Linked DNA regions of Alligator mississippiensis. The protein of the gene in region 4 purifies or fractionates together with the protein of the main gene of each other region. This does not show direct contact. Links are inferred from orthologs where the notes say so. Each region holds a gene or a part of one and is shown on either strand. Other genes may lie near its edges. The genes, in order: TRPC4AP, FBXW5, RBBP4 and CUL4A.

Region 1 (7,615 bases), on a different chromosome or scaffold from region 4:
ATTCAGTAATACTGCCTCTTGGGCTTCTCAGGTACATATAAAGCTAAGACCACAGAAGAAGGTAAGCAGGCATCTAGTATGTTAGAACATCCTGTTGTAGTCTCTCTTGTCACACAAGTATTTGATAATTTTACTTAAATCAATATAAAATGAGATGCGAGTTATGGCGGATAATGCACAGGACATGAATCATGACCATAATGTATTACAGTTAAAAAACAATCTTGTGGAACTTGTTCACTTTAAAAGGGACAATATCAAGGTTAAATTATCAAAAAACCTCAAGGAAAACACACGCACAAGACCAACAACCTTTCACTAGTGATTTGTTATTTTCCTTAGAATGGACAGTACTGCAGGTAGGCCACAAGGAATATTATCACTAGGCTGTATCCAACCCAACATCTATATTATAAAATAGGTATTGAGGCCTAAAGTTATGCAAACAAATCTTGTATCCATCACTGCTCATAAACACTATTCAATGATCAAAATGCTTCAAGTCCTTAACTAACAGGAAAAGTGGTATACCAAGGAGATAGCTTCAGTTCGTTAGTCTAACTTGATTCTTTTAAGATTAATAGTTTTACTCAGTGAAGTCGCATCAGGACGGCAGATCCAAAGAACATGCCCTTTCTTCTAAACACAGCTTATAAAGTCTATATAATGGGTGGGAGCAGCAGCCATCTTGCCATGCCAGCAGCTCCCCCTTCCCCTCCCCCATCAGGCTATGTAGTTGAGCCACAGTGGCCACAAGGACTGCTGGCTCTCCAAGGGGAGCCAGCATTTTATTTTTGGCAAGTTTTTTTTTTTTTTTCCCCAGGGAGTCTGCACCTCTTTGGGAGCCTGCCTAAAATTGCAGTTTCCATGAAGATTGTGAAATCACAATTTCAGTAGGTTCCTATGTATAATTTTTTGTGCTTTTTCCTCCAGCTTAATGCTACTTTCTTTGCATTAAAATCAGCCAGAAGCCCAGCACTAATAAAAAGCTTCACAGAAAGCCAACACACACAGAGTAAACAAAATCCAAGTCAAGAAATTGATTTCATTCTCAATGTTTCATGGGATCATCAACAGTGGAAAATATAAATTTCAGAAAAGTTCTGATCAGTGTTACTTAAATGAAAAATGCAGTTAGCCTTTCTCTTTCATTTCAGAATTATGCTACTACTCACCACTAAGTCCACCAGGTTACATGCCTGAATAAATCAACACATGCACTTAAATCTTGACATTTTGGGTTAATTTGAAATGCCAATCAGGGCTTCTTTTCTATTCAGAAAAGGAAGCACCTCTATCCTCGCCTCCAAGCAAAACACCACCACAGGGCAGTATTTCTGTGGTTTCTATATTGGCCCTTCTCCACCAGTCTCCTTACATCCTGAATTTCAAGGAAAGAGAGAGAACAAAGTAGTATGGTATAAATTCATTCTCTTGCTAATGGGGGATTCTGAGGACAGTTCTCAGCTCCTAATACTGTTCTGCTGTCTTGCAGTACAAACTAGGCTGGGAAAAGATGATTTGTATGCAAGCACAGTAGGTCTGGACACACCAGGAAGCTACAAGTCCCCCTCAATGGCTGGATGGAGGCCACTACTAAACATATAACATGAGTTATATGGTCCATGGTCCATGAGCTGGACTCAGTCCATGAAGCCTCTCTATCTGACCTACTGGGCTGCCAGCAAGCACCAGGAGTTGAGGGGGGTGGAGTGACCTACATAATCCAGGGTCCTTTGGCCCCATGGTACATGGTCATTGGTGGCAAGCTTGTTTCACCTCCACTGGACCCTGTGTGGTCACTACCATGGTAGCTACTGTGGCAGCCCTCAGAGCATGGGGCTGGATCCAGCCTGCAAGGAGCCCTGTGGTCCAGCTGTGGCCTGGGATCCAGGTAAGGCCAATACTTGTGGTATAAAACAGATATCATAGGACAAGTCATGAGAAACTGAACAGGAATGGGGGCCAAAGGTTAACAAGTAGGGTGATAAGAGGACAGCAAGCAGAGAATGTCAAATCTAGTTCCCATTGCCCCTTGACTGTATCTAATCATCCAGTGGATGCTCCTGCACCACACATGTGAGAGCAAGCAAACAGAAAACAACCCCACACACCCAGGTCTGAGTGGGAGGGGTGGATTTATGCACCAGAAAGCTCAAGAGGTCACTAATAGAACTGGCAGTTTGGGAGATTTGGAGGCTGTTTTCTGCACCCACACAGGACACAAGCCCTGGACTGCTGCTCAGCACTTTCCGTGGCTTGCATGTAAAGTCACAAGGAAATTTAAAACACAACATCCTGCCATCCTGGCAAGTTCACGCCTCAGCCAAGGGGAAACATGCAACCTTCTGCACAGAGCTGGGGGCATAGCAGAAAATCTTCCCCGCTTGGGCCAGAGGTTCCGGCCTGGCACGCCCCCCGAGGCGGGAGGGCTGTAAACCGGAGGCAGCAGCGGAACGGGGCCAGAAGAGCGAGACACTGGCGTGGGGAAGAAGCAGGCAAAAGAGCCGGGCTGCTCTGAACCTCGGCTCCGGGACCAGCCCTTGACCAGCTGCAGGACGAAGAAGCTCACAAGCTTCAGCAGCACTGGCCGTCGCCCTTCGCGGCTTCCAGACGCCCCCCCCTGGCATGACACGTCTCCAGCTAGCGGCGCTCCCCTCCCCCTACACCCGAGGAAGGCCAAAGCGGCCGCGCACGGCCTCGCTCAGCGCTTGCAGCTCTGCTCGCGAGAGCGCCCCCTGCTCCGGGGCCCAAATCATGCAGGCCCCAACCCCCGCCACCATCACACCGCCTGCGGGGGCCCGCAGCCTCCACAGCGCCGCCCCCGCCAGGCCCGCCGTACCTGCGCCCCCCGAGTCAGGCCGTTGCCGCTAAGTTGCCCATGCCGAAGCTGAGCCAGGATGTTGGTGGCCACCCGCCGGCCGCCTCCGCCAAGCCTCGGGGCCGCCGCCATGGCCGCTCCTGCTGCTCGGAGACAAACAGGAAACACCCCTCCTGGCCCGGCCGCTCGGTACGAATCGGCGCAAGGGCCGTCCCACAGCACCCCCGCCGGCTGCGCCGCAGTGTCGACCTGAGAGCAGGCCGCTCGGGGGCCCCTGGGAAATGTAGTGCCCGCCCAGCCTAGGAGAGCGTCGCCGGTCGCCTGTGCTGGCTGCAGCCTTAGGGAAGTGAGCGCGGGGAGGCGCCACTGCCACAGTCACCGGTCCAGCAGCCTCCCACGCACCCCCGCGTCACAGTACTGGAGCACAGCGCCCGCGCTTTACTGCACGGCAGCACCCGGGGGCTACCCGCTGCCCTGCACGCCCGGTTGGAGCCCCCGCAGAGAAGGCTGGCAGAGCCCGCAGCCGGGAGCCCTTCGGCCCATGGCCACGCGTTCAGATAATGGCGTAATAAGGAAGCACAGCTATTACACATTTGTTTTGGAATAACTTTGTGGCTCATTCTTTGTTTTCTCAAGCCACGAATAAATTGTACATGTAGTTGAGTCACAAGCCAAGACCCGAGTACAAGTTAATATTGTATTAAGCATAATGCTGCTTGCCGACACTACCCCTCCCCCGCCCCCCCAAAAAACAAAAGCTTTACTGGAAGCAGCAGCACTTACTTCAATCCAGCTCCCCAGCATCTATATAGATTGGGTACTTCAATGGGGCTTTTTGGTGCTTTTATCTAATAGCTAATTCAATCAGCTATTAATAAAAGTGCCCCAAAAGACCTACTAAAACACCCAATCTTAAGGATGTTGGGGGAGGCAAGTCCAAGTGCCTCTTCTGGGCATGTGCTGGGCTCAGGGTGGGATCACACTGACTTTAAGGTGCCATTTTTTTCTTTTTTAATGTCTGCAAGCAGCCGATGTGTAGATGGGGTCTAACACGCTACAACAGAGCTAGGCAATCATTACAATGCTGCAATCCGGCATGCACACCCAATTCCGCTCTCAGGGCCCCAGGTCTATTCTACATGCATGTATTTATTTATCAGATAAATATGCTGCCCTCCTAAACAAAGGCGGAGGGTGCGCTGATAGAGATATTTGATGCCGGTACAGACAGCCGAATTTTAAGGAGGCATATGCGCTGATACCGATCCAATTTCTGATAAGGCTGGTAAGTCTGGTTTGGTGGGAGGGGAGGGGAGGGAAGGGAAGGGATGTGAGGTGGGCAAATCAAGGCCCCTGCAGTGAAGGGAGGGAATGGGGCAGGGGCTGGGGCCAGGGCAGGCATTGACCAGCCAGGGCGGGGAGGGGTGTGGGACAGAGCAGCAAGCAGATCTTGCAGGGGGTGGGGGTGGCATGTGCCCCCTGGATCTACGTGGGGTTGGTTGCAGCTGTTGGCTGGGGCCAGGGCCGCAGTGGGCACAGGACAGAGGGGAGGCGCCGCTTGTCAGGGAGCTGACAAGCTCCCGCCACTGCGCCCAGCTCATCCGGTGTTGTCTGGCAGCTTCTGCTGCTGCTTCTGCTGTTGGTCCAGGAGGATATGGGGGGAAGGCGTGTGTCCCCAGATTTGCCCGGTTGGGAAGAGCCCAGCCCTAGCCCACCCTGCCTTGTGCAGATCCAGGGGACATATAAGCCCCTCCACATGCCTTACCTGATGAGAGGTGGGAGCAGCAGCGGGAGCCGCCAGATGAGCACCGGATGAGCTGTGTGGAGCGGCGGGAGCTGCACCCCCACCAACGAGCCGCACCTCTGTCCTGCACCCGTCCAGGCCCCACCTGGGCAGCCCCTGCCCCAACCCCACACCCTCCCTCACTGCAGGGGCCTTGATCTGCCCCCCCATGGCCCTTCCCTCTGTCGCTGCCGTGCACTGCAGCGGGGGGGTCGGGACCTTAGAAGCCGTCAGGCGGGTGCTTGTGACGCTTGGAGTGGAATTAATTAGGCGGACGCTTATTGGTTGCAAAGCAAGATTATTTACTCATGCCGTCAAGGTGGTGAAAGACGGAGGTCAGAGATACTTGGTTAGTTACAGCTTAGAGTTTATGAGGTCGGTCTGCAAAGTAGGTCAGTTCGCAAAAGTGGTCGGGCAGAAGGTCGGGCCGGCAGTCATCGATTACGTCTGAGATTGGGTCGAGATGGGGGCGAACTGGCAAGCGATCAAATTGCCAGTTTACTCTGACACGTATGTCAGAGGTCTCCAGGTGTATACGGAGTCGCTCTCCGACTTCACGGAAGTTAAAACGGGTTTTATTTGTGTAATAGCCAATTGCTTTTCGCCACGTCATAGATTTAATTAGAATCGCCAATTATCTAGCGGTCTTCACTAGGGTGTTTGTAGCAGGGAATACTCCCCTGTCACTCCGATCAATTACAATGATTTATGTAAAGCAAAGAAGGCAAAAGTTTTATCTCTGTTAGTGGCGCAGCAATAAATTTCTTTTTGACATGCGCAGCAAAAAGGCGGTTACTGGCAAAAACTTTTGTTAACCCTTAGTTAACTTAGTGAAAATAAAACTGCTTTAAATAGTTTCACTTTCTTGTGACATGGGCACTATTATAATTGGGTTGTGACATGCCCCCTTGCCCATGGCACAGCAAGTCACATCATGTTTATGTACAGACCATTACGTCATCATCTTTGTTAGTGTTTGGCAAGCGGGTGTATACAAAAGCAGAAAGCGTGGTTAACTTTGTTTTGAGATACTATAAAATCCAACAACTAAAACACACAAATACAACAATGGCTATTGTCACAACCAAATTAAGTAGTGCCCATGTCACAAACAAGTAAAACCATTCAAAACAGTTTTTTTCTGCACTAGGTTAACTAAGGGTTAACAATAATGATAGTAACCGCTTTTTTTTTTCTGCGCATGTCAAAAAGAAATTTATAACTGCGACACTAACATGAAATAGAACTTAGCCTTTTGTGCTGTACATAAATCATTATAATTGGTCAAAGAAAACAGGGAGTAACCCTGCGAGATAGAACCCTAGCGAAGACTGCTAGATAATTGGCGATTCTAATTAAATTTATGATGTGGCGAAAAACAATTGGCTATTACACAAATAAAACCCGTCTGCACTTCCGTGAAGAACGGGAGACCTCCGCACACACACCTAAAATACCTCTGAACGTATGCGTGAGAGTAACTGACAAATTGATCACTTGTCAGTTTCCCCCGTCTCAACCCAATTCTCAGACGTTAATCGACGACCTGCCGGCCCGACCATTTCTCTGCGCGACTACCAAACTCTTATGCAGACCGACCTACGACCCTTAAGCTATAACTAACGAAGTATATCTGACCTCCGTCTTTCACCACCTTGACGGCGTGAGTAAATAATCTTGCTTTGCAACCAATAAGCGTCCGCCTAATTAATTCCACTCCAAGCGTCACAAGTACCCGCCTGATGGCCTTCTAAGGCCCCGGACCCTTATCTGCCCGGGTGGGAGTCAGGGAGAGCTGCTGGCCGGCTGCCCTGGGTCCCGACATGGCGTCACGAACAGGATCAAGGGGAAATGTGATGGAGTGGGAATTAATTTGTCATGACCTAAAGGTCTGATTTTTTTTGTGTGTGCGCTTCGGCACTAAGAATTATCCCCGTGGGTTTGCAACTTCGCTGCACGGAGGAGTTCTGTTGCGCAGAGAACCCGCGTGCAGGGGAGTGTTCCCGCCACTTTGCAGCGATCTTTGCAGGGTGCATTTCCTTTGCAGCACAGAAATGCACGGTGCAAAGGTTTCCCGCTCGTCATATGCAAATTCGTGCCCCGCAATTGGCTAGTTCTAAATTATTCACACGTGACGGCTAGCGATTGGCCTGCTAGCCGTATAAGAGGCTTGAGCAGTTTCCACCCAAGCCGAAGAGGACTCCGCATCCATCTCGTGGGGACTCTGGGTGTGCGTGGCAGGGTAATAGAAACCCTGTGTGTCGCTCGGAGGAGTTTGGCGGCCTGATCCATCGCCCACCTCTTCCCGTCTTCGAATGGAGCCTACTATAAGACGTAACGACGAGTTTAATGCGCGCTTGTCCTGGACATCCGGAGTTTGTCTGCGTGGAGCCTAGCAAGCTCCACGTGTGTTCGTGTTTTTTGTTGTAACCGCAACTCAAGCAAGTTCTCAGCCTACACCACGACCATCTCGGTGTAAGTAAAATAATCTTAAAATCAACCGTTACGTGTCTGTGCCTAATTCTAGCTCGGCGCCCGCCCTCTCCGATCCGGCCTGCCCGGGCTGCTGGCCACAGCCCGTGTGCAGAGCGACGAAAGCGACCCGGGTCAGACCCGGCACGCACATAATTAAGAACTGCCCCTGGTGTAGTGGGGGGCACCGTGTAGATAACGCGAATGAATTATGGGCCCACATCGCTTATCACCAAGCAAGCAGAGTGGAGACAGGGTGCGTCAGCGGCTACTTCTCGCTGAAAGGAGAGGAGGGAGTTGGAAGGGAGTGGACAAGCTCCGAGTGGGACAAAGGAAAGATGATTAACGTAGTGTCACTCCTACTGCGTGAAAATGCAAACTTAAAAAACCAGTTAGCTACAGTCAGCAAAGCTACTGCGGAGATGGCAGCGTGCCAAAACCCTCCGTTGCCACCAAAAAATGGCACCAAGAAAAATATGAGCTGCCCGGAGGACCTGAAAAAGAAGGGCGGAGCCACAGAAGAACAGGTGGGACTCCAC
Region 2 (7,942 bases), on a different chromosome or scaffold from region 4:
CCCAACACTGGCACATCGGTGCTTCAGGCAGAACCTGGGAAGAGCTGGCTTGGGCCACAAAAATCAGATCAGATATTGTACTGCAAAGCCATGTCCCCAGCCCTTATGCAATCCTTCCCACAGGTCACAGCTCATCCACACCCGCTCCAGAATATGCATCGTCTTCCCCCCCACCCCCCCCAGTCCAGTCACATGCAAGTTATACTCCTCCACATTACAGACATTAAAATCAGGAGTGGGCAAAATGTGGCCCATGGGCCAGATGTGGCCCACCAGGCCATTCTTTCCGGCCCAAAGGGACAAAAAAAAATAAATAAATTAGAAAATTAAAATTTATTTGCCCCTGGCTGCCTGTCATGTGGCCCTCAATGGCTTGCCAAAACTCAGCAAGCGGCCCTCTGTCTGAAATAATTACCCGACCCTGAAATGCTTCAAACCCCCAAAGGGAAAGGGGCTTCTTGAATGAGCTCAGAGTCTATTATAAAGACCAGCTGCTCAGAGAGGCCAAACCGGTTAGCTCACAGCCCCATATATTCAGAGCCCTGTGACTTCTATACCTCTCCTGTGTTTTATGGAGGCTAAGACGTCTCAGCTGCAGCATCTCCTCCACAGTGCCTGATCCAAAGGCCTCACTATACTAACCAATCAGATCAGCTCCCAGCAAAGGAAAGGGAGGAGGAGGAAGAAGAGGAAGATCAGGGTACAACAGCTTGACAGAAGTTTATACAGCTGGAGTCAAAGCTTGAGCCTACCTCACTTGGTACAAGTGAACAAACAAATCAGCCAGTACAAGAGCCGGCTACTTCTTTACCTTAACAGTGCAGTCCTTGGAGCAGGATGCAAACAGGTAGCCAGAATGGGAGAAGCTGAGGTGCAAGACCTGGTCACTGTGCTCCCTGAGGGTCTGTACTTCAACGCACGGGATGGTGTCATAGAGTCTCTGGAACTCATCGTACCAGGAAACAGCGACTGCAACACACAAGCCGAGACATTTGGGAATCGGAAGGCAGCAAGGAGGGGATGGGGGTTAGCCACAAGCAGAGGCCACGGAGTTGGGTGGCTTTGCCTGTAGCAGTTACAGCGCACAATTAAAGATACCTGACCTGGGTGCCGCGGCACTTCCCGAGAAATCCGGTAGTATCGATAAAATAGTTCCTTCCACAAGAACTCATCCCGGGCCACTGCGTGCCACTGCCGACACACCAGTGTTGCTGAGAGCACGTCTACGTGGTCCAGGTAGAGGAAGATCTCATAGAGGACGCTGTCAGGGAGAAGGGGATTACCCCCAACATCCATAGTGTCATTCTGTCACCAAAGGACTCTGGAGAGACACAGGAATGCAGTTAGTTTCCACCAACCTGCCTAGCATATCATTAGGGAGACACTTGCCCAGAACAGGGAGGCTGCCATGCCTGAGCAAGCACGCTCACAGGCAAAGCAAGCAATCGCGGCTTCTCACAGGCAGAGGCAAATGTACCCACTTTAAACAGTCATGTTTCCAATTGCAAACACTTGTCAGGAAAACAGCATTGGTGGGCTGGGGAGGGCAGTTTTAAACTAAACCTGAGACCAGTTTTCTCTTCACTTGCCCTCATGCAGATGAAGCTTTTTTGAAATAAAGAAAAAAGTTCACACATGTGGCAGCCCCCATGGTCCTATGTCTGGAGGCACATGAACACGAAGCATCGGGCACGTGCCTGACTTCAGTCCTGTGCACAGTGACCCCCAGTGCGGTCCACCAGCAGGACTTGAAAGCGAGACCTTCAGCATGAAAGCAGTGAGCTGAACCACGTGAAGCACGGAGCTGAACAAAGGGTGCAAACGGAGGCAGCGTTGATGCCTATAGGAAGCTGCCTAGTGGAGCGGTTCGGCGGGTCTGCTCCTACAGCCACGTCCTCGTAACTCTAACGCCATCTTGATCACAGTTAACATTAGTGACGCTGACCACTTGCAGCTCCTGTAGTGACAGAGCATAGCAGCTCACACGCACCCCCCAAAACAGCTCCTCCTTCCCTTTTAAATCAGTGGACAGCTAATAGGCTTTGGCTGTGGACCGCTTCAACACCAGCCAGTCGCGCAGCGCGCAGACCAGGCACAGGGGAGCACGTACAGACCGAGCTTGCTACGCTGCCACTTTCCCTGGCGAGCGCGAGAGGTCTGCGGCCTGACACTGAGCAGCGCGTCCTGCTGTCAGCCCGCAGCAGCGCTGCCTACGGACCTGGCACCCAGACTCCAGCACAGCTCAGACGTTTGGGATGCGTTTGCTCTGCCAGGAGGCGAGGAGCACACACTGTGTTTACGAAATGCGCTACGCGTCTCGAGCCCCACGGAGAAAGCGCCAGCAGCAACTGCTGCTGCTCGACGCGCCGATCCTTTTGCTCCAACACTAAGAGGTGAATCTCGGTGCAAGGCTGACGGCCGGTGGGGGCCGAGAGCAGCCGGGACCCCAGCGAGGCCGGTCGTGTCGCCGAGTCCTGGGGAAGCAGCAGCAAGCTCTGGCCCTGCCGCCGGGGGCACTGGAGGGCAACCGGCCGCACCCGCAGCCTCCCCGAGTGCCACCGCGACCCCTGCCCCTGCCCTGGCCTGCTGCTCTGCTTTCTGCCCCTGCCCCGCCCCAGTCCGGCCTGCCGCTCCTGTCCCACCCGCCGCTCTGCTTTCCGCTCCCCTCCCCGGCCTGCCCCGCGCCCAGCGAGCGGCCGCCGCGGGCAGGCACCTGCAGGAAACCGGGCTCCGGGCGGCCGCGCCCCCGGGGGCCGGAGCCGGCGCGAGGAGCAGGGAAGCGCGGGGGTGCTCGGACCCGGCGCCGCGTCTACACTAGGGTCCCGGCTGGCCCCGCCCTCACGCGGCCCGGACCATCTCAACCGGGGGTGGGGGGGCAGCCTCGTGCACCGCCCTCGCCCCGATGGTACCGCCCGCCCCACCCCCGCGAGACCTTCTCCTCTCCTGCTTCTGCGCTCTGCCGCACGCCGCTTCCGGCCCCTCCCGCCTCACTTCCGCTCCGGCCTGTGCTGGCCGCTCTAGCCCCTCTCTGTGCTCCGCAGCCACGCCCCATCCCCTAGGCCTAACGGCTTCATCCCAGAGCGCCGCCCGGCCAGGCCTGGCGAGTAGAGCTCGGCATCATCCGTTTCTCCAGTCACCTCCACGTGTTCCTGCCCCTCTGCGGGAGGTGTCGCGTCAGGCGGGCGCCCGGCGCCCAGCACCCTCTACCCCGCGTCCAGCACCCAACACCTAGTGTCCAGCACCCTCTACCCCGCGTCCAGCACCCAACACCTAGTGTCCAGCACCCAGTACCCACTACCCAACATCCAGCACCCAGCCAGCCCTGGCGCTGCTGTGTTGGGCTTGCCCCATAGGTGATGCTTTATGCAAATGAGACCTCGGTATGCAAAATACTTTGCATTGATTAACCGGGAGCTAATAAGAGCCAGCACATGATCCTTCCCGGAGCTGCACCCCGTGGCAGGGAGAACCAGGCTGGCGCCCAGCGGCGAAATGAGGGCCCTGCTCATTGCCACTGCACCAGCGCTAGGAGCCTGGGAGCTGTCAGGAGCTGGCCAGGCTCATGGAGTCGCAGCAGGGGGTTTGGGCGCATTTAGCCCCGCCCTGCCCAGAGTACAGGGCTGCACCTGGATCCGTGGCAGCCCTTCCTCTTGCTGGGGTTAATAGCAGTTGTGCATCTGCCTGCGATGCCTGCTACATGTTACATCTGTGACACAATGGACAGGTGAATCGTGTCATAGGTTTAGACCAGCCACACATGTAAAGTGATCCTCACACCATCAAAATGACTCCAGATCCAACCACCTAAGAGTCAGTGGTTGAAATTGTAGTCCGCAGGTTTGTCATTACCCTAAAATAGAATAGTTTTCTGAAAGCATACTGTTAGGTTTACAATAATTTGGATTTTTAAGAAGTATTAGCTTTACAGCTGAATACAAGGCATGACCTGTGGCCTAGTAATGCAGCTGACCACAAGGCAGAATGATAGCTAGGCCTTTGCTTGTGTCAAGTAATCATTTTAACTGCAACAAGCATTTTCTGAGTTAAAAAGTGAATCTGTGTCTGTGCGCTAAAAAAAATCAGCTACAGCAAGAAGTAAGATAAGACAGAGAAACCATTGTTTTGAGCTTACTGGTTGTGTCCTTGAGAAGTATCTTCTACTGTGTAAGGTTTTGCTAACATAATGTTACTGTTACTTAACTTTTAGCTTTTCAAAAGTGCTAGTTCAGCTTAATAGAAATATGCTGTTACAAAGATTTGTAGAGCACCGCCCCAAGTATTGCTTTTTGTTAACCATATAGTCTTGCTTTGTTGTAAGAAGTATAAAAGATCGCCTCACCCTTGAGGGGGGGCCATTTTGCCTTTTGCTGGCTTTATGGTCTTTGCTCGAGCAAATAAACAGCTGTCTTTCTTTACCCGCGTTGTCTGTCAATCAAATTACAGCTAGACAACGGACCTTAGGGAGGTTTCTCCCACCACAAAATGCTAACAGCTCCATGGCTGGTCTCTATCCAGCTTTCATTTGAACCTGTGTCAGGGCCCCAGCAATCAGCAGGGCAGGATGAGCTGGGTCATAGGAGACAGGGAGTTGAATCACTTCCCCACTGGGTGCTTGTTTCCCCTACCATCCTTTGTGGGGTGGCCTATAAGCTCTTTGGCATGGAGACTGTCTCTATCAGTGTGCAGTGCCCTGCGCTGTGGGGCATCTCAAGTGGGAGCCTCTCCAAGCTTATGCAATGACAGAAAATGGTGAGCTCTTCTCTAGCCTTCAACCGTTGCATCCCCCAGCCTGGAAAGATGTGCCACAGTAATTGCTGCACCTGGCTCACCCGGTGAGAAAAGTTTTGCTCCTAAGCCCAGACTGGAATCTCTTCTTCCTGGCTCAGGATTCTGAAGAACCCCTCCCCCCCGCCTCCTGGTTATCAGCGTGGCCCAGGATTGATCCTCCCACTCATGCTCCATTAGGGCATAGACATTTCGTAGTTTCATAGTTGGTAGGGTCGGAAGGGACCGAAGCATCAAGTCCAACCCCCTGCCATGGCAGGAAAGAGTGCTGGGGTCAAACGACCCCAGCTAGGTGATTGTCTAGCCTCCTTTTGAAGACCCACAGGGTAGGAGCGAGCACCACTTCCCTTGGAAGTTGGTTCCAGCTCCTAGCTTCCCTGACTGTGAAGTAGCGCCTCCTAATATCTAGCCTGAACCTACTCTCCATCAACTTATGGCCGTTGTTCCTTGTAACTCCCGGTAGTGCTCGGGGGAACAGGGACTCTTCCATTGCCTGCTGGTCCCGCTTGGCAAGTTTGTAGGCGGCCACCATATCCCCTCTCAGCCTTCTTTTGTGGAGGCTGAACAGGTTCAGGTCCTGTAGTCTCTCCTCACAGGGCCTACCCTGTTGCCCCCTGATCATGTGGGTGGCCCTCCTCTGGACCATCTTGATGCTGTCCACATCCCTCCTGAAGTGCAGTGCCCAGAACTGGATGCAGTACTCCAACTGTGGCCTGACCAATGTTGCATAGATGGGGAGGATCACCTCCTTGGACCTGTTTGAGATGCATCTATGGATGCATGGCAAGGTGTGGTTAGCCTTTCTGACCGCGTCCCCACACTGTCAGCCCATGTTCATCTTGGAATCACTAGTGACTCCAAGATCCCTTTCTGCCTCTGCACTGACAAGAAGGGAGTTCCCCAGCCTGTAGGTATGCTGCTGGTTTTTCCTCCCCAGGTGCAATAGCTTGCACTTGTCCGTATTGAAACCCATCCTATTCTCATCTGCCTACCCCTGTAACCAGTTCAGATCTAGTTGTAGCCTGTCCCTCTCTTCTAGCATGCTCACTTCTCCCCACATCTTAGTGTCATCTGCGAGCTTGAACAAGGTGCTTTTCACCCCCTTGTCCAAGTCACTGAGGAAGATATTGAACAGTGCGGGCCTGAGGACCGAGCCCTGGGGGACCCCACTGCCCACATCCCTCCAGGTCGAAAAACACCCGTCTACCACCACTCTCTGGGTGAGGCCCTCCAGCCAGTTTGTGACCCATCTGACTGTGTAGGCATCAACTCCACAGTTGCCTAATTTTTTAATGAGGATGGGGTGAGAGACAGTGTTGAAGGCCTTCCTAAAGTCCAGAAAGACTACGTCCACTGTGACACCTGTGTCCAAGGCTTTTGTGACCTAGTCATAGAAGGCCACCAGGTTGGTCTGACAGGACCTGCCCCTAATGAACCCATGTTGGTTGCCCCTGAGCATAATCTCCCCTGCTGGTCCCTCACAGATAATTTTCTCAAAGAGCTTCCCCAGGACCAAGGTAAGACTAATGGGCCTATAGTTTCCTGGGTCCTCCTTCCTCCCTTTTTTGAAAATGGGGACCACTTTGGCCCTTTTCCAGTCCTCCGGCACCTGGACAGAGCACCATGAGTGCTTGTAAAGCTGTGCCAGGGGTCCCACAATGACCCCTGCCAATTCCCTCAGCACTCTGGGGTGGAGATCATCAGGACCTGCTGATCTGAACATGTCTAGTCCCTCCAGAAGTTCCCTGCACTTCCCCTAGGTTGGTCCAGATTCCCAGTGCGAGGGATGTCCCTGTCCCTTCTCAGAAACATGGAAGAAAAGACTCTGTTAAAGAGATTAGCTTTGTCACCTGGTGCTACCACCAGAATACCAAGCATGTTCTGCAGAGGCCCCGCCTTACTTGGTACCTTCCTTTTACCCCCTATGTATTTAAAAAAGGACTTCTTGTTATCCTTGATCCAGGTCGCTAGTCCCAGTTCTATCTCTGCCTTAGCCTTCCTAACAGCCCCCATACAATCTCAATCAATGGAGGTATAATCCTCCTTGGTGATGGCCCGTCTCTTCCATTGCGTGTATGCCTCCTTTTTGGCTTTGAGACGTTCCTGGATGCTTTTGGTGAGCCATGGGGGCTTTTGAGTGCTCTTGCCCCCTTTGATCCATGTAGGGATTGTCACCCTTTGGGCTTGGAGGATCATCTCCTTAAGGAACGACCACTTGTCTTGGACTCTCAACTCCCCTGCCCTCCGGGACCTCAGTGCCTCCCTGTTTCATTTAATGGATCTTTTTAAAATCAGTTCTTCTTGTGCCTCTGCTACCTGTCCAGTCTAACAGCTCATGAGAGGAGTCTAGTAATGGATGGCTACTGCCAGGAGAGGGCAGCATCCTGCTTTTGCTGAGAATAGTGTAGTTTGGTAGCTTTGCTGCTCCAGGGACTATGTTAAGAAGTAGGTTTTGCTTGGTAGTATCTTTTAGTGGATCTGCGGGATAGTTGAGAGACATGTCAGGCGAACTTGCAGGCACAAAATGTCCTAACTCACCAGTGGAAGAACAGTGTTCAAAGAACAACTACTCCAGCTCTGACCACACAGTCCTTGTCATTAAGGGAAACCCACACAATCCCTTCAGAACATGGGCCTGGCAATGAGATCTGTAACTTTACCAGACAGTGAAAGCCATGGGTTCAACACAGAAAATGACTCATTTTGACTTACTTTCTCCCTCTTTACTTCTGTGCTCTCTGAAGGCAGTGACGGCTCTCGTCGCTTTTAAACTGCTTCTTTTTCCTACTTGGGTTGATCTCTTTCAGTTGTTTTTTCTTTGTCTGTAGCGATGACCCCTTTGTTCCACAGGTTTATTGCCTCCTTCCTTTTTAAAAGGGCCATTTTCATTTTTATAATGGGATTAAACAAAAATAATTGCTCTACCTGGTCTTTAGCTTCACCAACACCTGGGCTTGCAAGCGGGAGAAGTATGCCCCACTGGCTGACATCCTGAGGGGCCGTGGTTATGACGTGAGAGTCAACGCACCCTTCATGGGAACGCTCGGAGCCTGGGACCCCAACAATGAGAGCGTCCTGCGTGCCTGCCATGTCTCCTGCTGCTACGTCAAGCTGACGCGCTGCCTTATGGTGTCTGACACGATCCACTGGTCCCATG
Region 3 (7,198 bases), on a different chromosome or scaffold from region 4:
CTATTAGTTTTAAACACGAGAAAACTGAGGTAGAAAGACAGCATTGCTCAAGGCCACAGCACTATCCCTCATTGTCAAGAGCACCTGGCTTCCAATCTGCTATTCAATTCAAAAGAGCAAACTGCCTTGTACGGAAAAATAAAGTAGCCGTAAAGCCGTTATAAAAAAAGAAAAAATCAGATAAGTGACTGAAATTCCTCAACAGATTTGCCGAAGCTATATTTAACATTTGTATTGTGAATTGGAGAGCAAGTATTTGTCAGCACCTGCACCGAGAGAGACCCCAACTTACACACTTTGTACAGGAATCTCTCTCTCTATCACACACACACACTTTTAATCATATACAACCAAGTCAAAACTAAACCTATTTTCAGGATCACAAGCAGATTTCAGGAAATAAACAGAATAAAAGGAAAAGATATCTACAGCCTTATGATCGCAAGTAATATTGCAAAACTTTTTAATATACTATACTTTAATACTCACTCTGAAAAAACAAAAAGGAATTGAAGACAACAACAAAAGAAAAGAAGTAGTGGTACTAAAATTTGATATTTCTGGGAAACAGAAATCCTGAAATGAAGTATTTTAGACAGAATCTTGTTTACAAGCAGTACTAGCAAGTCCAACAATCAAGGTATCAATTGCACAACCTTGGCTCCTGGCAAACAAGGAAATGAGACAACTGAACTGGAAAAGTTGTATAACGTGGAAGAAATCATTAACCCAACTAGAATAAGATATGGCTAATAGGTAGGAATGCTGGCTGCCTAGGAAGGTTACTGATATATTTGGTTTGGATCCCATGGTATTATGGCATTTAACTGAGCAAAATACAATCATCCTTTTATTCTGGAGGGGCTGGCACGTCTACCAGTCAGCAGAATTCAAGCTAAAAAGAACACTTGAAATTGTACACCCTCTAAGGAATGGCAGAAAGCCTCTTTTATCAAATTATGAAAGCTACCATCATAAAGAATACTTTATGCAGTCACAATGAGAAATAATTAAAATAATTTCTATTGCACAATCTTCCAATAAGTTCTACCCCTCTCCTCTTCAAAATGTTATAAAAGCAAAAAGTAAGTTTAATTCAGCATGGCATATGGAAGATTAGAGTACAGTGCACAGATCCAAGAAGAAAGGAGGAAAAGTTGTAACCTCTCCTGATCACTTCATAGGATAAAAGTTCCATATTACTTAATGATCTATTAACTCCAAATGAAAAAAGCCATTATGTCCAGTGGGAAAAAAAAGTTTGGAACTCCACTTGCTGATCATCCGAGACTCTTACCTCCTTTCTCGCTATCATAATGTGAAGCATCAAACTGTGCATCGTCATTGGGCAGCTGCACGCTGGCTATCACAAGATGATTTTGCTCGTCTGAAGTATGTGTCCCCAGGACTAGCCGGTGAATACTGAAATCTTTGCCTTCGGGTCTACAACAAAATAGGATTACAGGAGGGGAAATGAAAGGGAGTTAATTAGATATAGTTGGCTCACAGGAACAAACCTGGACCTGGAAATTAAACCTCCAAAAATAAATAAATAAAATAAAAATTATAATATATCTTTTAGCGCTGACCATGCCCTCTTACTCCAATATCAAATCTTCCAAACAAAATCACCGCAGTCCAACCCTAGACGGACAGCAGATACCTATTTCCTTGCTGCTATCCCAAACAAAATCACCGCAGTCCAACCCTAGACGGATAGCAGATACCTATTTCCTTGCTGCTATCCCAAACAAAATCACCCCTGTCCAACCTTAGACAGATAGCAGCAAGGAAATCTGTATCTGACATCCCCACAATACAAGCTCTCTTCTCCCCGCAGGACTCTCCCACTAGTACTCCCGTGAGTAACGCCTTGAGGCATATTAGCATTTTCTGCAAGTGACAGGTGGAAAAATACATTGTGTCAGGGACCCGGGGAAAGAACAGTTGTGCTGCACAGCAGAAGGGTTTTGAACAATACCTAAATGCTGCGTACGTTCATTTTGCAACTTCATCAATGGAGGGTAAAGAAGAAAACATCACTTAGTTACAGGTTGAACACAGCCTGAAACATTTGCTGCCAGTCAGCAGCTATTTCTGAATCAAAGAGGCACCAGGCAGCAGGCAGCAGAGGTGCTGCCTGGTGCCAGCACAACAGTCCTCAACCTACTGTGGCCAAAGAGCTGATCACAGCCGGCAGCAACCCACTCCCTCCCATACGTGACAGCGAAAGCGTCCTTCAGTCCCATTTACACCAACAACCAGGAGGCTCGACTCACCTGGTTACATCAGGAAGCCACTGGGCAGTCAAGCTGGGCCACTCGAGCGCGTGGGTCATCACCAGGTCGTAGAGGAAGGGCGTGTTCTTCTTCCAGATCTTGTACTCCTCGTTGATCACCCGCTCCTCCACCGCATCGTCGAAGGCTGCTGCACGTCGCCAAGGGGAGGAAAAAAGAACGTGTTCATTTCAACGGCGGGTCCGGCTAGCACCCTACCCGTGCGGCCCCGTCGCTTTGCCGTAGCTGCCAAACAAACCCACCCACTGCCAGGGTGCACCTTCCCACCCGCCCGCCCGCCCTCCGTGGCCCTCACGGGCCCATTACCAAGGGCCCCCCCCACCGCGCACAGACCTGGGGAAGCATTTCAGTCCCCCCCAAGAACCAGAATTGGGGGCTTTGCTGTGCAGATGAAGGGCCAATGATATCAAATATGCAAATTAAAGGAAAATTATGCAACACATGCTAATTAAAGGGGGGGGGAAATGCCTCTTTGAAGGCTCCCACGGAGGAGCCGGACAGGAAGAGAAGGGAGGCCCAAGGGCTGCTTGCTCCGGCAGGGCTGGGGAGGTCCCACTCCCGGCCGCGGCGCCAGGCCCTGCTCCCGGCCGCACGTACCTTCCTTGTCCGCCATGTTGGGGTGCGGGGCGCGGGCTGCCGGCTCGGTGCAGCCGCCGCTCTATTGTTTCCGACCCCCTCTGCGTGCCACTCCGGCGCCGCGCGCCCTTCGCGCCAACGCCCGCCAATCACCGCCCGCGGCCGGGCGCCCGCCGCCAATAGGAGCCCGGCGGGCGCTTGACAGGGCGGGCCTAAGGAGGCGGCGGGCTTGCTGTACGGTCACGTGGGAGGGGCCGGCGCTGGTGAAGCTCCCATGGGAGCCGCCATTTTCTGACGGAGGGGCAGCATGGCGGGCCGCCTTAAAGGGCCAGCGGCCCCTCATGCCCTTGCTGGGGCTCAAGCCTCATTGACCCTGTTTCTCAAGGCTGCTGCGGGAGGGGCAGAAAAGCAAGCAGCCTAGGGCTTGCCTGCCAGTCGCTGCAACCTGTGATCAGACAGGATTGAGGATCTTGAATAAAGCAATATTTATTAGCCTATATAGCAATATTGATCTCGAATAAAGCAATATTTATTTGCCCCCCTTTTTGTTTCGTTCTAGGTTTGAAGGACAAAATTCAGTTTTTGCCTGAATCTGCTTCCTACGTGGGGGTTTGTTTCTTTTTTCCCCTCTGATTTTCCCCCAAAGAGTCCGATCAGCGCTGGAGATCGTAAGAGTTTTGTACAAGAGCGTCCTGTGTAGGAGACATTATGGTCGGCCTTTGCTGACTATTAGGGATCCTGGTTTTCTCTGGATATCCCCAATTTTCAGTTAAAGTAATCCCAGATCCATGTTTTTCCATGATTAAGATTAAACATCACTAGTATTTACCTATATATTAATGAGGTTTCATTTAAAAAATCCACATTTTTTTGTGATTTAACTGAAAAATGGGGATTTAAAAAAAAAATTTTTTTTAATCGGAGAAAACCGGGATCGCTGCTGATTAGCCTCTGGCCTCGCTCTTCACTGCAGCAGGAAAGACGCTGATTATTTCCAACTGGAGTCAGTATTTTGCAGCGGTGTGAGAATAAAGCAGACCACGCAGGGGCTCCGAAGGAGGACGCTGGAGAACACCTACCCGATATCATCACCGTATCACAGAACATGAGAGCTGGAGGGACCTCGGGAGGTCACATCTAGTCCAACCCCTGCTCCGAGCAGGACCAGCCCCAACTACATCATCCCAGTGAAGGCTTTGCCAAGCTGGGTTTTGAAAACCTCCAAGGATGGAGACTGCACCATCTGTCTAGGTGACCCGCTCCAGTGCTTCATCACCATCACCCTCCCAGTGAGAGAGTATTTCCTAATATCCAACCTAAACCACCCTTGCTGCAACGTCAGACCGCTGCTCCTTGGCCACCACTGAGAACAGGACTACACTTTTCTTACAAATTGTATTCTTTACTCCCATCTTTAAAAAAACAGAGTAACTGATGGTATTTATTTAGTCTTAGATTTAAAAAATAAATAAATACCAGCTTTTCCTTCTACTGGAATTAACTCTAGAAACCATCTCATCGTTTCCCCCCTTTCGCTTTCATTCATAGCGCTCGGCCCCTGGTGGAAGCCTCAAACAGTCTAAATCGCCAGTGTTTTCCTTTTCTTTTGCTATTTTCCTTCTTCTTGAGCAGCAGCAGCATGCTTGAGGCTGCGCAAAATTAATCAAGTTAAACCAAAGGACAGCCTGGCACTAGCTCAAGGTGTAAGCTATTTGTGGTGCGGATCCTGAAAATGAAGCTTAACTTTAGGCACATTGAGAACTTCTTTCAGCTTCATTGACTCACTGCCTAGTACGTTTTTGCAGGCTAAAAAATACCCTTGCAAAGGATTTTGTGGCTGGAGAATTCAGGGGTGCACATTTCAAACCTCACTTATTTTCAGTGCCACTTGGTGTCCTCATTGCTCTCCAGTCGAGCAGGGAGCTCTGCCTTTAAAGGGTAGGATCACATGGTGAGTCTGGGCTGGATCAGGCGAAGAGGGGCTGTCTGAATAAAGCAGGAAGCAGGTGCTGCAAGGCTGACAGTGATGGCTGATAATTTCCGGGATTACAACCTGAACCAGGAGCAGAAGGCTATCAAAGCCAAGTACCCTCCACTCAATAAGAAGTATGAGTGTGAGTATCCCCATGGCATGTCTGTGGCTGGGAGGGGAGGTATAGACCTAAGCACGTGTAAAACTTGTGCTTCACACTGTGCCCTGGGATCTTGTCTCTAAGTGGGTAGGGGAGGCTTATTGATGCGTCTTGATATGTTATCTTAACGGAGATCATTTAGCTTTGTGCGATGGGTCCTAAAGAAGTCCCTGTGTGTTCAGCACCTCCAGGCAGGTTGCCATAACTAGTTAGTGACTCCTGACTTTGCAACTGGAAGTTTATTTTGAAAGCCTGAAAAGAGAAGGAAGCAAATCTTGCTGGGTGAAATGAAAAGTGGTATTATCACTCAAAACTGACTTGCAGTAGGGGGTAATGATGATACCATACTAAGAAAATATAATATTCATTGGAGAAACTATAATCCAAGAGCTGGTTAATTATGCAAATCACATCTGCCACCACTGATTTATTAGCCAGTCAGCTCAGAACAAAGTACCAATGCTTATTTTGTTTTAAAACTTAAGTATAATGCCTTAGTGTGGAGCTGTTATAAGGAGGGAGGTATGGTAGGGTCTGATCCTGTGCGTTACTGAGTCCCCTCAACTCCTGCTGGTTGAAGGGCAGACAACAAGTGCTCAGCACTGCAGCTCCCGGTATTATGCATCTTAGTGGCACAACTGTATCTGGCAGTAATTCTGCAGAATACTGGTTTCCACTGACACTGCACAGCTTGTTCCCATAAGCATGCAACTCATTTTGAATTAATGCCTGGTTTTCATATCCAGTTTAACCCCAGTAACACAAGTTGGATGGGTTTTAGGGTATTCTACCAATATTAGGGATACAGTGTAAAGCCAGGCCTATTACACCATCTGTTCTTTTATCCCCACAAGGGAAGTCAGATCAAAAGTTCCTTGAGAAACAAAATTTCTGTGAGCTGCTCCATAAAACAGATTATCTAAAATGCTTTTCTGGCATTTTAAGTGAACATTGATGTGAGACTGATTACAATATGGGGGGCAGGGGGAAGGTTACCAACTTCAAGGAGAAGAAAATTGAAACAAGAGTTTTGGGTTCAAATTCTGTCTTTAAGTTTCTTCCATGTGGCCTGTATAGTTTGGGAAAGCTCTATAACATTTTCATCTATTGAAGGATGGTATGAAATGCATATATATTGGGGGTACTTTTTGTGGAAACAAGGTGATGGGTTTATTATGGAGGGGTTGTTTTTCTTGGTGGCTTTCTTTTAAAACCTATTATGGTACCTACTATGTGCTGCTATCATATTGATCCTTTTATAGCATATTTAGCTAAAGGTCAGATTAACATTATTAATATGAGGTCAGATGTGTCAAAACATGCACAAAATATTCTCATGATAAAAACAGGACCTGAATTTTCTTGCAAGTAGTCATGCGTTGTTTTTCTAAACAACTTTGACAATTCCATAACTCTTTCTTTTTTTCTCCTAATCCTTCAGATCTGGATCACACGGCTGATGTTCAGTGAGTATTTACAGCTGGAATTTGAGTAGAATTTCTCTATAAGCCTGATTCTCTTCAATACTTGTCAATCAGGAGTAACTGACAAAATCTAATGTGACAAGAGAATAGGGTGCAAATATATCCCTTTTGGGCCTGTGGATGCCACATTTAAAGATGCTGTATTTGTTTCATAATTCTGCTGCCTCTTATTTCCAAATGTTCCATGTACATATGTTCCAACAGTACCTGTTTAGATATCCATGGTTTTTAGTAAAATACTCAATATTTTTCCATGTTGTTCCTCCAAAAGAAACTCCATTGTCTTTCAGTGTTTCAGCACTTACCATAGACAAGTCTCCCTGCTTAAAGGCACTGTGTTTGCTGCTTTTCCTACTCGTATTTCTATGGTACTCCAATTCCTTACTTGTATTTTCTCGTCTTTCTTTGTCGCTGCTGTATGATGGTGTAACTCTTACGTCTCTGTAGGTTACATGCCTGGGGAGATACTTTGGAAGAAGCTTTTGAGCAGTGTGCTATGGCCATGTTTGGCTACATAACAGATACAGAGACTGTGGAGCCCTTGGATACTGTAGAAGTGCAGACAGAAGGTAAGAAGGCACTGTGCAAACTTTGAAAGAGAATACTGTTGAAATTAACTTTGCCTTTCAGTCAGAAATAGCTGGCTTATTGCATGTAGTATTGGCACAGGTTTATTAAACTAACTTATTCTTTCCAAATCTGAATATGC
Region 4 (6,900 bases):
TGGACAAAGTCTGCTCCAAGGCACGCATGCACCCACTGGTACGGAGCTAATGCCAGAGCCCGGAGCAGATGTTTGCAGGCTCCCGGCTGCAGCCAGCCCAGGCTCTGGGTAGCTGCTGCCAACCACGGCAGGGCTTGCAGCCGCCCAGCTGCCTGCTGGGAGCAGCCCAGGCTTCGTGGCTAGCAGCAGCTGCCTAGAGCCCAGGCCGGTGGTGGCGTCCCCGAGCAAAATGGCCTCACATGCCGTACTCAGCACACGTGCCGAGGGTTGCTGACCCGATGTAGTTAGTTGAGCCAATAAAAGATACTGCCCACATAAACACTTTCCTCTCACATATTTCCTGGGCCATCACAGCACCTCAACGCAACTTGGACTTTTTAACACACTGTCCATGTTTGTGAGAGAATATCTCCATTTGGTTAAGCATCTCAATTTGGGCAGACCCTCCACCTTCTTCAACAGGACTCCATCCATCTGAAAGGGATGGTATGTGTGAAGTAGCTTGTGGAGTGAGAGCCTATGTCAACTTCCCGAGGGAAAAGAAGCCATCGCACTGGAGTGTTGTTTTAGCTGTGCCAGTTTGGGAAATATGCAAGAAGCGAGGGTTGTTTTTTTGTGGTATCTTTTACTGGACCAACAGTACAGCTGGGACAGATGTTACACAAGCTTCTGTGCACAAAGTGCTGTACTGCAAGACACGTGGTTTGCCTTGAAAGCAAAATTTAACACTACATCACTATTAGAATCTCCCTACCTAACCTAACAGCATCTTCCCCAAACTAAGCCATGAATATGCTCTTAACCAAAGCACCTTTTTAAGCAAGGACTGATGAAGAAGGACATGTGGGTGAACCCTCCACCTCCTTCCACAGGACTCCATCCAGTGGAAGGGGAGGGTCTGCCCAAAGTCGCTGGCAGAGTGAGAGCCTCCTCCATCCTTTGAAGTCCAGGGTGTAGGGCCAGGACACACACACAGGGCCCCATCTGCTGCCACTTTCTTTGAATGCAGCTCCACTGAGAAATACTCTGAACATAATGAGTTAGAGCAGCGCCCAACCAATGCTGCCTGCATTAGCAGCGAGCTTTGAGTTTACACCTTTCTGTAGAGCCTTGAAACAAGGGACCCCCCCAAAGCTCCACACACACACACACCACTTCTGCTGCAGAACAAGCTGCAGTGTTGTCAGGTGTACAATAATTATCATATTTGTGCTATAATTTCAATGCTTGTACAATGTACAGTCAACAATGGTAAGAGTGTTCAAAATGTATAATTTTTTGAGGCAGCTAATTGATGCAGAATATGCAAAACCCAAGTCTCTCAGGGAGTCTTAACTGGCTTTTTTTTTTAATTCTGGAAAATTTTTCATATTTCAGGACAAATCAGCCAAGTCAGTTCTGAATCCTCTCCATTGAGAGAAACTCAACTGTTCAAACACCATCTGTGGGGCTACAACGGGCTTCAGATACTCCCAAATCCACTGGCAGGCATCCTAGATGCAGGTCCAAACCCAGAGGGCTTGGAGTTCAGATGCCCCCAAGTCTCACCTGCCTTTAGCCAACAGCCACAGGAGCAAGGTAGGGAGGAATCCCCCATTTCCATAAAGTCAGCATGTAGGCAAGATCCTCCCACTGGAAGCTGGGCCCTGGGAAGCTAATTAAAACTTGTAGGACATTCTGCCTGCAGTGCATTGGACAGGGGTGCATCCTCCACTACACAATGCCATTTAAATCCATCTTGGTCTGGGTAACAGACCAGTGCAGTGACTACGCTTGATCTTAGCCCACAAAACGCAGCGTCTTAACTGACTTTTGGGTTGGTTGTCAGCACCTTCTTATGACCGGGGATCCTGGTTTTCTTGGATAAAATCCCTAATTTTCAGTTTAATAAAAGGAACCCCAAATACACACTTTTCCATGATTAAAATGAACCACTACTAATATATATATATACAACATCAATAACATATCTATCTATCTATAAATATATATTTATTAGTGGTGGTTCATTTTAATCATGGAAAAATGTGAAATCATTTATCTATCTATATCTATAGATATATCTCTATCTATCTCCGTAGATGGATAGAGATATGTCTACAGATAGAGATATATCTATAGATCAGGGGTGGGCCAAATGCGGCCTCCGGGCCAAATGCGACCCTCCAGGTCATTTTATTTAGCCCGTGGGGCCCCTAAACATTTAGAAAACCAATAGTTATCTGCCCCTGGCTGCCTGCCATGCAGCCCTCGATGGCTTGCCAGAACTCAGTAAGCGGCCCTCTGTCCGATATAATTGCCCACCCCTGCTATAGATAGATAGAGAGAGAGACAGATGGATAGATATAGTGGTGTTTCATTTGAATCATAGAAAATGTGGATTCTGGGTTCCTTTTCTTAAACCTAAATTGGGGATATATATTTTTTTCAATCAGAGAAAACCAGGATCCCTGCTTATGTCCACTTGCCTTGAAATACAGAAATGCTTCAGCTTGGATGCCCTGCCTCGCTCCCCCACAAGAGAGCTACAGCCCGCACTATAAAGTCTGGAAAAAAATAACTTATTTGCACGCTGATTTTTCCAGCAAGCACCACAGTGTTTTGCTCCCGATGCGATGGTCGCACACTGAAGCTTGGCAGCGCGCTGACAAACAGTGCAGAGGGCAGGGGCCTCCTCGGCGGGGCCCCGGGAAGGCGGCAGCCCCGAGGCGCGGGGGGAAGGGGAGAGGGGGGGAGACCCCTATCAGAGGGGAGACCCCGGCCGGGGCTGGGCTCACGGCTCCCCGGGGTCCCCGCGGGGGCGAGGGCAGGGGGCCGCCCCGCACCCACCTCGGAAGTTCTTGATCACCAGCTTCTTGGAGGCGGCGGCGGCGACAGCGCCCCCCCCCGGGCCGACGCGACCCCCTGCCAGCGCCACAGCCTTAGTGAGGCCATTGGTGTGGCCCACCAGCGCCGTCAAGTGCGGCTTCTTGCGCGGCTCGTCGGCCATCTCCGCCGGCCCCGGCCCGCCCCCCGCTACCGCCCCGCCCGCAAGATGGCGGCCGAGCCCTGCCTCCCACAACGGCTAGCTCGCGCTGGGGGGCAACGGACGTGTCCCCAGATGTGGTGCAGATGTTTGTGAGCGTTGTACTTCTACGGGCGGGGGGCTGGGCTCGGGGACCTGTAGCACAGCTGGAGACCCCCGTGTTCCCGGGCCCCGCCCCCATGGCCCTAAGGAAGCCCCGCCCCCGGCCCCAGCGCGTGGAGCAACAAGCCCCGCCTCCCGCGGATGTAAAGGAAGGGGGGGGGCGGGGAGCCAGCGCTGCCCTTTCAACGAAAGAGAAGCAGGGGCGGGGGGCGGAGCTAACTCCTGTAGCCAGGTGGGCCTGGCGTAGATCACGTGGCTCCCGCGACTGGCCTGTCAGCGCGGGGAGGTGGGCCGCTCGGCTGGAGTAAGCGCCAGCATTGTTTGGCCCCGCCCCCTCCTTGCCCCACCCACACGTGACGGAGTACGGGGCGCACCAGGGGAAGGAAGAGGGATGAGGGTGGAAGTCACGTGAAGGGGGTGGGCTTTCGTTGTGTCCTGGGAGCTGGGGGTGCGCGGCGGAGCTGGGAGGAGCCGGCGTCTCACGGGGCGGCCTCTCCAGCCCGGCGCATGGCGCACATCACCATCAACCAGTACCTGCAGCAGGTAGGTGGGCGGCCGGCGGGCATTCGTCCTCCCTGTCCCGCATGTCTGCTCGGGCACCCCGTATACACCCACCCAACACACACGTATGCACATACCCAGTGTACACGCATGTGCACATGCATACACCCACTACACACACATCTGCACACCCAATACATACATGCACACACGCATCCCCAGTATGCACATGCATATACCCACTACACACACACATACATGCACACCATACCCAGTATATATGCACGCATATGCCCACTACATTCCTTAGAGTCTTAGACCAGCAGAGGCTCCCTATGTCCGACTAAGACTGACTGTGCCTGAAAGCTTGCAAAGAACTTTTTTCCAGCTACTCAGTTGGTCTAATAAAAGATATCACATCTACTCGAAGAACCTTGCTCGTCTATGTCCTTAGATCAACGTGGCTACAACCAGCAACTCAGATACCCACTATACACGCATGCATGCGCACATACACATGCAGTATACACACCTGCACATACATGCACCCACACACACCCAATATGTGCACACGTGCATGCAAACACATGCACATGCATACACCCAGTACACACATGTACATATGGAGCCCCTTTGAAGTCTTCCTGAGGGGTGGTGGATGTATTAATGCAGGGGTGTCAAATTTGCCTGGTCTCATGGGCCACAGATGTACACAGGAGTAGTCCGTGGGCCACATGAACAGCACAGGGCTGGATCAGACCCCCCCCCCCCAACATGCTTTTGTATTCTGAAGCTTCTATATTTAATTTGTATTGTTAAACATTAATAACATTCAGATACATTTAAGAGACATGATTCCCTGCACTTAAAATATCCTCCATTTCAGGAAAATAAATAATATAATGAAAATTAATAGTGTATCTTTATTCTTGGAAGTGTAAGTGAAATTGTTAAAGACATTTTAGAAACTTTGTACACCTATCATCCAAAGACAATGATGATATAACATTGTTTTGTAAGATCTCTGGTTTACTTTGATCTTTGTAAGCAAGGAGAAAAAAGGTGGTGACAGTGTTGGTCATCCACATCATTCACAGAATTTCAATATGTATTTTCTGGACTTAAGTTATTTGGAAGTAATGCATGAAAAACTAATTTTTGAAAAGTCATTGACAAGAATGTATATGCATCTGCAGGAAAGTGGCTTTATTTGATATGTGGGAAAAGGTGGCTAAGTCTAGAACTTATTCATAGTTGTTAGGGTTAGTAGGGACTTCAATAGATCATAGAGTCCGACCCCCTGCCCTGGGCAGGAAAGAGTGCTGGGGTCATATGACTCTAGCCAGGTGCTTGTCCAGTCTCCTCTTAAAGACCCTCAAGGTAGAGGAGAGCACCACCTCCCTTGGAAGCCCATTCCAGATTCTGGCAACACTTACTGTGAAGAAATTCTTCCTAATGTCCAACCTAATTCTGCTTTCTGTCAGTTTGTGGCCGTTGTTCCGAGTTATTCCAGGGGGTGGGTGCCCTGGTAAACAGAGCATCTCCTGTTTCTTGCTGCCCCCCGCCCAGCTGGTGAATTTGTAAACGGCCACATGATCACCTCTCAGCCTTCTCTTGCAGCGGCTGAAGAGATTCAGGTCCCTCAGTCTCCTCATCGGGCCTTACCTACAGGCCCCTAACCATAAGAGTGGCCCTCCTCTGGACCCTCTCAGGGTTATCCACATCCCTCTTGAAGTGCGGTGCCCAAAACTGGACACAGTACTCCAGCTGTGGTCTGACCAGTGTCGTGTAGAGGGGAAATATCACCTCCCTGGACATGTTCATGATGCACCTGCTAATGCATGATAAGAGCGTGGTTAGCTTTACTGTTTACTTCGTCACACCGAAGGCTCATGTTCATCTTGGAGTCAACAATGACTCCGAGATCCCTTTCTGCTGCTGTGCTGCTGCGAATGTCCTCCCCTACCCTATAGGTGTGTTGATGATTCCTTCTCCCTAGATGCAGCACTTTGCACTTGTCTTTGTTGAACTGCATCCTATTCTTTTCTGCCCAATTTTCCAACCTGTTCAGGTCCGTCTGGATTTGATCCCTTCCCACCAGTGTGTTTACCGTAGCCCATAATTTTGTGTCATTCCTTGCAGTTGTTTTCTTTTTTTTCTATTTTTTTTACTTTTACCTGTCTTATTTAGGTACAAGAGGCCATTGATACCAGAGATGGACTTTTTTGTGCAGAACTAGTATCATTTAAGCATCCTCATGTTGCAAACCCTAGACTTCAGGTAAGGAAATTCGTTACCTTGCCAAATCGCAGTCCCAAATCCTGCAATATTCTTTGTGTGGGGGAGTACATTTTCATCGACTTTGGAGAGGCTCTTAATGGATATGAGATTTTTCTCATTTGGATATGATTTCTTGATGCAAATAGGAAATCCATGTTAGATGAAGTAATGTCCACAGAGAGGAACGGCAAGGATAATAAATAAGCACAAAAAATTAAAAAGGCACAAACCTACAAAAAAAACCTCTCATACCTGAGAAAGGAGAATGTAGCTAGGATGTAATCTGGGGGGAAAAAGTTGTCTACTGTTATGTAAAGCCCTACAGAATTTAAAAGTGAGAAACCAAGACTGTTCAGAAGAAAAGTACAACAATTTCATTTATAAAACATTTAACTATCAGATAGACTTCATTTGTGTGAGCTCCTCACTACAGTTCCTTAGGAATATTTAAAGTATCTTTATTAATAGTCTGTAAAACCTTTCCTTTTGTGGGTCACTGTGTAAATTTTAAAACTGCAGTTAGCCAGATATGTGGCCAGAAGAACATTGCCCTGTATCCCATTAGCAATAAGATGCATTCATCATTCTTTTCCTCGCTACATAATAACCTAAAAAATATACAATGGTTTCTAGAAGAATACAGTGAAATGTAGATTGTAAGATACATGTCCCCAGCCTATGTTTTTCTCTCTTCCTTTTTTTCCCACCTGCCTTGTCTCATTTTACCTTGCCTTCTTCCCTGAAAAATATCTTTTTAATGATCCAAAGCAGTGGCTCTTTCTGGTTTTGTGTTTTTCTGTCCCTTCTCACATTTTCAACTCTTCAGCTTTCTCCGTGACATGCTTCTTCCCCTTCTTCCCCAATACTTTACCATAGGGGTGGGTAGTTATTTGGGCCAGAGCCACTGAGAGAGTATTGGTGATCTGTTGAGGACTGGTTTAACGTCCCCTCATACCCCAGCTCACCAGAACTCCCTCAGTGGCTCTGCCCTG

Evidence for each region.
Region 1: the proteins of CUL4A (region 4) and TRPC4AP purify together in Homo sapiens (affinity purification with mass spectrometry; 7 studies listed by BioGRID and IntAct, counting the BioPlex papers as one, with this or other methods). This does not show direct contact. The link is inferred for Alligator mississippiensis from reciprocal best matches to the Homo sapiens genes CUL4A and TRPC4AP.
Region 2: the proteins of CUL4A (region 4) and FBXW5 purify together in Homo sapiens (affinity purification with western blotting; 5 studies listed by BioGRID, with this or other methods). This does not show direct contact. The link is inferred for Alligator mississippiensis from reciprocal best matches to the Homo sapiens genes CUL4A and FBXW5.
Region 3: the proteins of CUL4A (region 4) and RBBP4 purify together in Homo sapiens (affinity purification with western blotting; 3 studies listed by BioGRID, with this or other methods). This does not show direct contact. The link is inferred for Alligator mississippiensis from reciprocal best matches to the Homo sapiens genes CUL4A and RBBP4.

Annotation. Positions count from the first base shown.
Region 1 is NC_081832.1:29,697,640-29,705,254, reverse strand, and holds the start of TRPC4AP (short transient receptor potential channel 4-associated protein), read right to left. Parts: upstream 3,020-7,615; 5' UTR 2,954-3,019; coding exon 2,843-2,953; intron 1-2,842. UniProt on the Homo sapiens protein: Substrate-recognition component of a DCX (DDB1-CUL4-X-box) E3 ubiquitin-protein ligase complex required for cell cycle control.
Region 2 is NC_081835.1:50,640,789-50,648,730, forward strand, and holds the start of FBXW5 (F-box/WD repeat-containing protein 5), read right to left. Parts: upstream 3,021-7,942; 5' UTR 2,933-3,020; intron 2,927-2,932; exon of another isoform or gene 2,714-2,926; intron 1,322-2,713; 5' UTR 1,297-1,321; coding exon 1,104-1,296; intron 970-1,103; coding exon 812-969; intron 1-811. UniProt on the Homo sapiens protein: Substrate recognition component of both SCF (SKP1-CUL1-F-box protein) and DCX (DDB1-CUL4-X-box) E3 ubiquitin-protein ligase complexes.
Region 3 is NC_081829.1:5,390,341-5,397,538, forward strand, and holds the start of RBBP4 (histone-binding protein RBBP4), read right to left. Parts: upstream 3,005-7,198; 5' UTR 2,911-3,004; coding exon 2,895-2,910; intron 2,428-2,894; coding exon 2,280-2,427; intron 1,444-2,279; coding exon 1,298-1,443; intron 1-1,297. Other genes in the region: ZBTB8OS (protein archease), read left to right, coding at 4,900-4,987, 6,447-6,471, 6,937-7,058. UniProt on the Homo sapiens protein: Core histone-binding subunit that may target chromatin assembly factors, chromatin remodeling factors and histone deacetylases to their histone substrates in a manner that is regulated by nucleosomal DNA.
Region 4 is NC_081824.1:351,845,683-351,852,582, forward strand, and holds the start of CUL4A (cullin-4A), read right to left. Parts: upstream 3,018-6,900; 5' UTR 2,990-3,017; coding exon 2,830-2,989; intron 1-2,829. Other genes in the region: PCID2 (PCI domain-containing protein 2), read left to right, coding at 3,635-3,670, 5,819-5,908. UniProt on the Homo sapiens protein: Core component of multiple cullin-RING-based E3 ubiquitin-protein ligase complexes which mediate the ubiquitination of target proteins. As a scaffold protein may contribute to catalysis through positioning of the substrate and the ubiquitin-conjugating enzyme.